3 linked regions of the Sus scrofa genome follow. The protein of the gene in region 1 purifies or fractionates together with the protein of each later gene. This does not show direct contact. Links are inferred from orthologs where the notes say so. Each region holds a gene or a part of one and is shown on either strand. Other genes may lie near its edges.

The links. Proteins that work in one complex are often made in the same cells at the same time.
Region 2: the proteins of TAF9 (region 1) and TADA3 purify together in Homo sapiens (affinity purification with mass spectrometry; 3 studies listed by BioGRID, with this or other methods). This does not show direct contact. The link is inferred for Sus scrofa from reciprocal best matches to the Homo sapiens genes TAF9 and TADA3.
Region 3: the proteins of TAF9 (region 1) and ATXN7L3 purify together in Homo sapiens (affinity purification with mass spectrometry; 6 studies listed by BioGRID and IntAct, counting the BioPlex papers as one, with this or other methods). This does not show direct contact. The link is inferred for Sus scrofa from reciprocal best matches to the Homo sapiens genes TAF9 and ATXN7L3.

What each region holds. Positions count from the first base shown.
Region 1 is NC_010458.4:47,496,680-47,500,830, reverse strand, and holds the start of TAF9 (transcription initiation factor TFIID subunit 9), read left to right. Parts: upstream 1-1,343; 5' UTR 1,344-1,352; coding exon of another isoform or gene 1,353-1,380; intron 1,381-1,383; exon of another isoform or gene 1,384-1,731; intron 1,732-3,847; coding exon of another isoform or gene 3,848-3,940; intron 3,941-4,151. Other genes in the region: cell cycle checkpoint protein RAD17, read right to left, coding at 895-910; AK6 (adenylate kinase isoenzyme 6), read left to right, coding at 1,193-1,343, 3,848-3,940. UniProt on the Homo sapiens protein: The TFIID basal transcription factor complex plays a major role in the initiation of RNA polymerase II (Pol II)-dependent transcription.
Region 2 is NC_010455.5:66,069,956-66,073,472, reverse strand, and holds part of TADA3 (transcriptional adapter 3), read left to right. Parts: intron 1-722; coding exon 723-832; intron 833-2,587; coding exon 2,588-2,773; intron 2,774-3,517. UniProt on the Homo sapiens protein: Functions as a component of the PCAF complex. The PCAF complex is capable of efficiently acetylating histones in a nucleosomal context. The PCAF complex could be considered as the human version of the yeast SAGA complex.
Region 3 is NC_010454.4:19,015,324-19,017,996, reverse strand, and holds part of ATXN7L3 (ataxin-7-like protein 3), read right to left. Parts: intron 2,521-2,673; coding exon 2,454-2,520; intron 2,294-2,453; coding exon 2,208-2,293; intron 1,898-2,207; coding exon 1,829-1,897; intron 1,584-1,828; coding exon 1,540-1,583; intron 1,282-1,539; coding exon 1,210-1,281; intron 1,115-1,209; coding exon 957-1,114; intron 846-956; coding exon 697-845; 3' UTR 1-696. UniProt on the Homo sapiens protein: Component of the transcription regulatory histone acetylation (HAT) complex SAGA, a multiprotein complex that activates transcription by remodeling chromatin and mediating histone acetylation and deubiquitination.

The DNA.
Region 1 (4,151 bases):
AAATTTCCCTCATTTCAAATTATAAATTTCAAAAATTCAAAGAGGATTTTTTTAAAAAGACACCAAAAATTAATTCAGACATATCACTCACTTTAAACAAAGATTTTTATCTCCTACTGTAAACTTTTTCTATAACCGTCCTTATTTAAACGTTATCACAACATTTTTGGGCAACACTGTTTTCCAACTGTCATAATTCTTCAATGTTTAGGCAAACCAGTGAACTCACCAATTTTAAGTTAGCCAGAAAGAAAGTTTTTTTAGCGTCTACAAACCTGTAAACTGAGCTTTTTTATAGTTTGGAAGCACGTGTAATTTATAATGTGTAAATACTTTTAAACACTAGAAAACAAATCGTACACACACATATAGATAAGCTGTTCATGTCTAGAGGGGTTTTTGCTTTACAGCGTCAAAAACGTATTTAAGATGGAAAAAACAACTATTTCAGAAAATACCGTTGGCAGGTCAAAATAAAAGTCATACACTTGATACCATCTAGACTCTAACCCTTTGAAAAAAAGACTGACAGTTACCTCCTTTAAAAAGCAGGCAACTGTCTTTGACGATACCAGGTTCCCGAAATGAGACATCAGAGGGAGAAAAGACCTCGAAGAGTATTTCTAGCAGACCCACCACCACTCTATACACTGCACAGGGGATACTAAGCTCATACAATCATCCAACGTAATACTACTAGTCAGGGCAAAGCGGAGATGAGCTGGTCTGCCACAGCTCCAGGCCAGAGCTCTGAACGCTCACCCCTCTAATCCACAGATGGGATGGGCAGGTCAGGAGGAGGGGCTACAAGAGTCTGAGAAGGCGTGAAGGCAGACCTGGACTTAAGGTCTCTAGGACATAAATACACCGCAGCCACAGCCACGGAAGCGTTACCTTCTGGTAGCAGCATCCCCTCGTGGGCGCAGAACAGTGGTGGAGCCCACGGTTGGCTCCAGGTGTAAGCAAAGCCACTCAGCCCTAACCGGGCTCAGCGCAGAGCCTCTTGGAGGTCCCGCCTCCCGGGGACTTTTCAGAGCATCGGCGCTTCGGCGACACGGCCCGAAGGGCGGGGCCGCTAAAAGAGCGAATGTCTTAGGCATCCAGCGCACTGCCTGACCCGAAGCGCGGACATGACCTGTTTTGGTACTTTGGACCCTGCAATGGAAGCGTGTTATAGAAGCCTAGGTAACCAATGGTCAGTGGCAAGGCGGCAGATGTGGGTCGCGAGCGCCACTCAAGGTCTCGCGTACCTCCGCGCCACAGGCATTTGCCGCTCCTCGCCCCTTCCGGCCCCTCCCTGTCGCGTGTAAGGCGCGTGTGCAGAAGCGTCCGGAGCCAGCGCGGTGAGGACCATGTTGCTTCCGAACATCCTGCTCACCGGTCAGGGCGCGCGGTGGGGGTGGTGCTGGACGGTGGGGCCAGCCTGGGACGCCCGAAGTGGGGGGGGGGGGGCGTTCAGTGTTCTGTGTCGGGGGTCGACAAGGGTCGCCTAGCGTGGCACTTGTTGGGGCCTCGTGACCGGCCCTCGCGACGGTTGCGGGAGGCGGGGGGAGGGGACCGCGAACGTCAATTTTGTTTGGCCAGAGGTTGGCCCTTCGGTGAGGCGGAGAGAGGTAGATGTATCTAGCTTCCTTTTTTGGCAAGCTGCCTAAGCTTTCTCAATCACCTTTTTGTTTGCAAAATGGCCGTTGCCTCTTGGCAGAGTTGTCTTCAGGCTTTTAGCAATATAATGTAAGACAGTGTCTGGCCTTTGGTAGATCTCTTAATGGTGGATGCTTTAGGCCTCCGGGGCCCGTTTCTCGCTTTTCCTTTCTTTCTGGCAGATTTCGATGAAAGGATTCGGGTGTTTGCGGTGTGGGGTGATTAATTTGCTATATACACTTGTGAAGTTAGCTTCAGAGGCTTTTTTTTTTTCATTATTTTAAGAAGGAAAGGCATCTACTGAGTATCTCTGGTCGTTTCTCGTGTAGAGGTGTTCTAAGATTCACTGTGGGGGTTCATCTGGGTCTTCGGATCTATACTGAGGGCGTTTGTTATATATGAGGGATAGTAAAATGCTTCATACCGATCTTATAAAGAATATTATTTTTGGTTGTTTAACTCTGAAAATGTTTATTAGATTGTAGCAGTTAATGGCATCCTAGGGCATTCATGAAAAAAATCTAATGGATGTAGATAGATGCTGTTGCATTATAAAAATTGAGGCGGTTATTTATTGGCAGCACACAAATCCTTCTGTTTCTGAAAGCTGCAGATTAACCTCAACAAATTAATGGTTAGCCATGACGATTTCTTAAGGGGAAGATTGTACAACATTGATTTGTTTGGGTCAGATAGTGAGTGTCTTGGGTTTTTTTTAATATTAAACCATATCGTCAAAAATCTAAATGTGTTTTATTGAAAACATGGTGAATTCAGAGTTCAAATTTAGTATATTATAGTGGATTGTTACTGTCCTTACATGAAGATCTATTCCTATTACCTTTTTTTGCTTTTTAGGGCCATACCTGCAGCATATGGAAGTTCCCCGGCTAGGGGTCATATTGGAGCTGCAGCTGCTGGCCACAGCCACACCAGATTCAAGCTGCATCTGTGACCTACATCACAGCTCATGGCAATGCTGGATCTTAAACTAACCGAGCAAGACCAGGGAACCATACCAAATCCTCATGGATGCGAGTTGAGTTTCTTACTACAGAGCCATGATGGGAACTCCAATTCCTGTTATCTTCAATTAAAATGATTAAATTTTATAATTTCAGTGGTATTAAACCTGAGCAGCTGAAAGTTATGAGTTTGATTATATATTTTGAAATACAGTAGATATAAAAAATAAGATAGAAGTTCCTGTGGTGGCACAGTGGGTTAAGGATCTGGCTTATTCACTGCTGTGGCTTGACTTGATGCTGTGGTGCAAGTTCAATCCCTGGCCTATAGTCATGGCCAGAAAGAAAAAAAGGGAAGTTGAAAAACAATATATAGTATTGCCACTTACATAAAAGGGAGTATTTGGTGTGTGCACGTATATATACACACAGTGTGAAGATATGTACACATATGTAGTATGCTATCATATATATATATATATATGGACATATTTACAAAAACATACATATGATTCTTTAGAGAGAGAAATAAAAGAAACCAGTTTATACTGGTTGCCTCTAGGGAAGAGTACAGAGGGTCCATATTGGAAATGAGATTTGTCTTTCATACTGCTGAACTTTTTCCCATGAACAATTTAATTTTTTAAAATTAAAGCAAATAGGAGTTCCCGTCGTGGCTCAGTGGTTAACGAATCCGACTAGGAACCATGAGGAACCATCCCTGGCCTTGCTCAGTGGGTGGGGGATCTGGCATTGCCGTGAGTTGTGGTGTAGGTCGCAGACGCGGCTCGGATCCCATGTTGCTGTGGCTGTGGCGTAGGCTGGCGGCTATCGCTCGGATTGGACCCCTAGCCTGGGAACCTCCATATGCCGCGAGTGCGGCCCTAGAAAAGGCAGAAAGACAAAAATAAATAAAAATAAAATTAAAGCAAATAACTCATGGTGATTTATTTGAGATAACTAGTTTCAATCTGGGGATTTCCATGGTGGTAGCAGACAGCCTTTGATTGTCATCAGATTCTCCCAAGCCTCACTCCTGGTAGAATCTGATACACCGAGTAGGATTGTCATGTCCAGCAGGCTTTGGGTGGTTTTCATTAGGTTATGGTGTGAATTAGGTTATGGTAATTAGGATTGCTAATTAGGAAACTTTTCAGTTATTAAGGACCTTAAGGACAGATCATTGGCTAAAACCTAATAAATATTTTATAAACAGTTTTTTTCTGTGGTTTGTCTTACAGGTACACCAGGGGTTGGAAAAACCACACTCGGCAAAGAACTTGCATCAAGATCAGGATTGAAATACATTAATGTGGGTGATTTAGCTCGAGAAGGTAAGGGACACTTCAGTGTTAGATTTGCTTTTTTTTTTTTTTTTTTTGGTCTTTTTAGGGCTGTACCGTAGGCATATGGAGGTTCCTAGGCTAGGGGTGGAATTGGAGCTGTAGCAATGTGATTCTGAGCCACGTCTTCGACCTACACCACAACTCGAGGCGACGTCGGATCCTTAACCCACTAAGCAGGGCCAGGGATCAAACCTGCATT
Region 2 (3,517 bases), on another chromosome or scaffold:
CCACTAGCTGCCCTTAGGCACATTTCCTCACCTCACTGAGCCTCAGTTTCCTCTCTGGCTCAAACACAGTAGTGTCTCCCTCTCCCACATAAGATGCTGGGCACATGTTTCATGTTGGTTGAGGAGGAGGGAGATCTCTGTGCCACATCATCAGACAGGGATTCCAGTTATGGTGGCTTTGCCATCTTAAACATGCACTCTGCACAAGGTCACTCCAAGTCCAACTGCCACTTCAGGCCTTCAGGAAAAGACCAAGGAGGAGTGTGTGAAGGTCATGGCCGGTTGAGGCTCTTATCTCTTCTGATCACTATGGAGAATCGCATGGCTACCCTTGATAGCAAGGGAGGCTGGGAAGTGTGGTTATCTGGGCAGCCGTAAGGCCAGCTACTGTAGAAGGGCGAGGATGGCTTTTGGACACCTGATGCATGCCTAGCAGAGCACCTCATGCATTGCAAATGCCTAACAAACCTTAGCTCTTCTCATTGCTATTGCTGTTATCATCATCTTTTATGCTCCCTTCTTTCAGATTCAATACAAAAAACAAGTGTTTTTAAAATGATCAAAGCTTTTTGGAGTCTGTTTGGGAAGGCTTTTCAGAGAGGATTGGATAGGAAAGAGAAAAGGCTATTTCTGGTCTGTGAAGACTGTCCATGTAGATTGGAGGGGAGCAGGAAGGTGATAATACTACGGCTCTTTCTCCATCCATTTCTATGCTCTTCTAGGAAAATATTATTTCCCCTATGGAGGACTCTCCTATTCCTGACATGTCTGGGAAAGAATCGGGGGCTGATGGGGCAAGCACCTCTCCCCGAAATCAGAACAAGCCCTTCAGGTGAGTGACGTCCTGTCCATACACCACAGTCTCGTCTCTGCTTCTGTTGACTTCCATCCATCTCAGCATGATGTGGTCTTCATTAATAGAGAGGCTGAGGACATTTTGATAAAGCCCAATAAAAGTCTGACATGCATGCTGGCCCAGCAGTTCTGCAAGCACAGACTTAGGACAGAGTTTTTATCATAGCACTGTTCTTACTGTAAACAACCTAAATGTCCAACTGAAGAGGAGTAATTCTACACAATGAAGTAGCTTGTAGCTACTAATCATATCAGAGAAATACAGTTAATTGACATGAAAAGATATAAACAATAGAATGATAAATGGAAAATGTCAGTTTTAGCAAGGTACAGGCAATGCAGTTCCTTTTTTTTTTTTTGGCTGCAAATGGGGCATGCAGAAGTCCTGGGGCCAGGGAGCAAACCTTCACCACACCTGCCACCTGAGCCACAGCAGTGACAGTGCCAGATCCTTAGCCCACTGCGCCACCAGAGGAACTCCAATATGATCCTATTTTTACTTCAGATAGATTTAGGAGTTCCCAGCGTGACTTAGTGGTTAATGAGCCCAACTAGTATCCATGAGGACGTGGGTTCGATTCCTGGCCTTGCTCAGTGGGTTAAGGACCCAGAGTTGCTGTGAGCTGTGGTGTAAGTCACAGACGCATCTTGGATCCTGTGTGGCTGTGGCATTGGCCAGCAGCTATAGCTTCAATTGGACCCCTAGCCTGGGAACCTCCATATGCCACAGGTATAGCCCTCAAAAGACAAAAAAAAAAATTATTTAAATGTGTGTACCTGTGGGGGGGACCTAAAGTAATATGTAATAAACATGGGAACAGTTATGTAACAAAATTTGGAATATGTATAATATTTACATAACTATATAAATGGAGATATTTTGTAAATATAACATATTAACATATAGTAATATAATAGTAATATATGTAATACTAACAAGATAACAAAATAACACTAGTTCTTTCTGGGTTGTTGGCATTATAGTTATTTCTGTATTTTATATTACATAACGTCGATACCTGTTGCTCGTGTTTGAAACAGGACCAGGTGTGTCTGTCTGTCTCTCTCTTTTTTTTTAACAGCTGCACTTGCAGCATATGGAAGTTCCTGGGCTAGGGGTGAATCAGATCTGTGGCTATTGGTCTACACCACAGCCACAGCAATGCCAGATCTGAGCTGCCTCTGTGACCTACACCACCCCTTGCAGCAAGGCTGGATCCTTAACCCACTGAGCAAGGCCAGGTATCAAACCCACATCCTCATGGAGACTATGTCAGGTTCTTAACCTGCTGAGCCACAATGGGAACTCCTCTGTGTCTACTTTTTTTTTTTTTTTTTTTTGTCTTTTTGTCTTTTTGCCATTTCTTGGGCCGCTCCCGAGGCATATGGAGGTTCCCAGGCTAGGGGTCTAATCGGAACTGTAGCTGCCAGCCTACGCCAGAGCCACAGCAACGCAGGATCCAAGCCGCGTTTGCAACCTACACCACAGCTCACAGCAACGCCAGATCGTTAACCCACTGAACAAGGGCAGGAATCGAACCCACAACCTCATGGTTCCTAGTCGGATTCGTTAACCACTGCGCCACAACGGGAACTCCCTGTGTCTACATTTTTATGTCTGGATAGATATAGAGGGGATGCCCAAGAGAAAGAAGGGTGTCCTAACCTTGGGCGTCTCTGAGGGCTTCCCCCTCCAAGCTGGCTCTTGTGCTGAGCACTGCCTTCCCTGCAGTGTGCCACATACAAAGTCCCTGGAGAGCCGCATCAAGGAGGAGCTGATTGCCCAGGGCCTACTGGAGTCTGAGGACCGCCCCGCGGAGGATTCAGAGGATGAGGTTCTTGCAGAGCTGCGCAAACGGCAGGCTGAGCTGAAGGCACTCAGTGCCCACAACCGCACCAAAAAACATGACCTGCTAAGGTGAGTGTGTACGGGATGCATGGGCCAGGGAGTGGCGAACAAGGCCTGGCCATGCTGGTCACCTTCCAGGAGCTTTACAGCAGGCTTCCCAAACTTGGCAGGGCCTCTAATCACCCGGAAGCCTTTGAAAAAAGGTGTTAATACTGGGCATCACCCCACTGGTTATGTCTCAAGCAGATTCTAATTTCATGGACTAGAGCTCAGGAACGTGTAATTTTGTTTTTTGTTTTTTGTTTTTTTTTAGGGCTGCACCTGAGGCATATGGAGGTTCCCAGGCTAGGGGTCTAATCGGCCTATACCATAGCCATAGCAATGACAGATGCAAGCAGCGTCTGTGACCTACACCACAGCCCACGGCAACACTGAATCCTTAACCCACTGAGCAAGGCCAGGGATCAAACCCACAACCTCATGGTTCCTAGTTGATTCATTCATTTCCACTGTGCCACAATGGGAACTCCTGTAATTTGTTTATTTACTTCAAACTTGTTTATTTACTTCTAATTATTGTAGTTAAAAAAAAATACAAAAGTTATCCCCTAAATTGTTTTTATTGTACAGTTCAATGGTGTTAACTATTCACATTGTTGTGTGTTTTATTTCTTTTCATGCTATTTTCTTTTCCCCTCAAAGTTTTATTGTGCAGAATTTCATACAAAACGTCTGATAGTGTCAGAGTTCTTGTCATGGTGCAGCAGAAACAAATCGACTAGGAACCATGAGGTTGCAGGTTCAATCCCTATC
Region 3 (2,673 bases), on another chromosome or scaffold:
AGAGGCTGGAGGCCCTTTCCTGGCACCCAACAACGAAAGGACAGCTCCTGCTGCCAAGGAGGCCCCTGGGGACTGAGGGGAAAGGGCTGCCCCTGTGAGGGGCAGGGAAGGCGGCGGCAGTTCTGGACGCCCACCTCAGCAGACAGCGCGCTGTGCCTGCCCACCCCTGGATGGGGGCGTTTGATAGGATTCTGCACAGACAGGACACGCCCAGCCCTGCCCCTCGGCTCCAAGCACCGGACCCATTCACATTGCTGAGGGCAGCTGGGGGAGGCCCCCTCCAGGCTCGGCTTCCAACCCACAGCCTCCCGGGCAGCCACGATGCTCCTCGGCAGGGCTTAGTCCAGTTCCTGGGGTGGGGGGGCGGCAGTGCCCTGGCACAGTGCCCAGGTCAGGCCCCTGGCCTAGCTGGACATCCAGTAACTCACAGAATAAATAGGAAAACCGCCTCCCCACCAGACTTATGTCCAAGGCATAACATGTCCAGGTCTGAGTCCTACATGCCGAGGGGTCGTGCTCCACCGCAGAGGACCCTGACACCCCCCAGGGGTGCAGAATTGGATCCTCCACCTGCCTGGCCTACCAAGCTTCCCAAGCCCAAACCCCCAGCAGCCGTCCGTTTGCCAGGCTGTGCCACCTGGGTGGGGGTCGGGAGAGCGGGCTCTGCTCAGCCAAAGGCTATCCCTTGCACCCGAGTCAGTTGATGTCATCATAGATGCTGGGCGTCGGGGGTGCCGGCGGCTTTGGCTTTTTCTTCTTGTTGGAGCCCAGGCTGGAGGCAGTCCCTACCAGGCTCAGATGGGATTTCTTTTTCTTGGTTTTCCGTGACTCAGAGCTGTTGGTACCTGAAAAGAAAGAGGCACGAGGGATGGAGAGGGCTGGGGCAGGGGAACGCAAGGTGCCCCCACTCCCTCGCTCCGAGCAGACAGGCCCCGGGGCCCGGCTGCATCACCTACCTAGACCCCATCCCTGATTCTCGCTCGTCTTGGAGGAGCCTGAATCGGAGGGTGAGAGATCAGAGGAGCCGTCCCACTGAAGCCGGCTGATCAGGGCTTGGCTGTCAGTCATGTCAAAGCTGTCATTATCCAGGGAACTCTCGACCTCTGGAAGGGCACTGGGAAGAGGAGAGGCCGGAGGAGGGCTTTAGGGATCCCAGCCATCCTCCTCGCCTTCTTCCACAACCACCGCCCTTCCTCGAGGGTCACTTACGCTGAGGGGCCAAGGAAATAAATCCGCACGGCTCGCCGCTGCTCATCTGTGTGCTGGGGGCAGCGCAGGGACCTGGTAGGGAGCAAATGATCAGCCCCGGATGAGCCAGGAAGGGTCAGAGGACCCCAGAGAGGCCCCTCCCGTCTCTGCTGAGGACACGGGGAGGGGATGAACAAGAGCCCCCAGGTGGTGGCCTAAGGCCTGACCGGCAGAGGACAGGGGAGGGCAGAGTCCCACTGCTCAGTTCCGGGGTCGGGGGGCACTCCCAGCCCGGGCCCAGGGTGAGTGTGCAGAAGGGCCTCCTGGCCCCTTGAGAGGTTCTGAGCTCACCTTGTGCACATCTTCTTGGTGTGTTCAGAAATCACCCCGCATTGCTGCAAGAGGAACAGAAGCTGAAAGGAGGAGCGGAGGGAAGCCTCCTCCAGACACTAGACATTCTCTTCTGTACAAGTGCCGGACTGCACGAGCAGAGGGGGCCCCAGGGTGTCCACGGCAGAGGGTCCCAGACCGCCACTGGCCAGGAAACCTAGTTCTAGAGACAGAACCGCCCAGCCCTCTCTGCTGCCACCAGCCTCTCCCAGAGCCTCAACCACCGTTTGTGACTGACTCGGGCCCTCACCGTGGTGAGCAGGCTACGCAGCTCCTCCGGCCCCAGGGTCTCGTAGCTGATCCCAGTTGAGTTGTTATACTGGGTGAGAACCAGAGGTACAGGTTAGAGATGGGGCAGCCAAGGGCGGGGGCAGAGGTGGGAGTGGGGAATCAGCACCCCTCCCCGCCCCCAGTGAGGCCTGAAGCCTGCCTGGCGGTCTCCCCGTGATGCCTTTCACCCCGCGGGCATTGGGTAAGGGGCTGGGGCCCACAGAGAACACAAATACACAAGAGCTAAGCACCCTGTCCAGAGCTCCTGGCCGCCAGTGTTCTGATCCCCACATGGGCAAAGCCCATCCAACCCGCAGCAAGGAAAATGAGAGGAAACCTCAGGGGCAGCCCCTACTCACCTTAAAAGGATCCGAATTGCTAAGTTCCCCTGAAGAAGAAAAAAGAAGGGGAAGGGTGTTTGATGCAGAGGTACAGACAGAGAACCCTGAAAATAACCAGAAAGGAAGTGGGGGTGACAGAAGGATCACAGGCCCTCCCTCGATACCCCTGCCCACCCCCCAACCCCGTGTCCCCACCTCCGCCCTCCGGCCACGAGTCCCAGAAGACACAGCTAGAATCACTCCCGCTGTTCCAGCCCCACTCACCATTTTTGTGTTTTAAAGACTTGGATCTTCGAGGGGAATTGGGGTTCTGGAATGGGAGATACCATAGCTTTGGGGAAAGGGTAACGATAAGGGGGAGCCGAGAACCCAGGGAAGGAAAAAAGATTTGACAAAGAAACATCCTCAAATTCCTACTCTTCCCCACCAGTAAGAGGCCCGTCTACCCACATGCCCCCCCTCCACCTTCCCCAAGGCCTCTGCT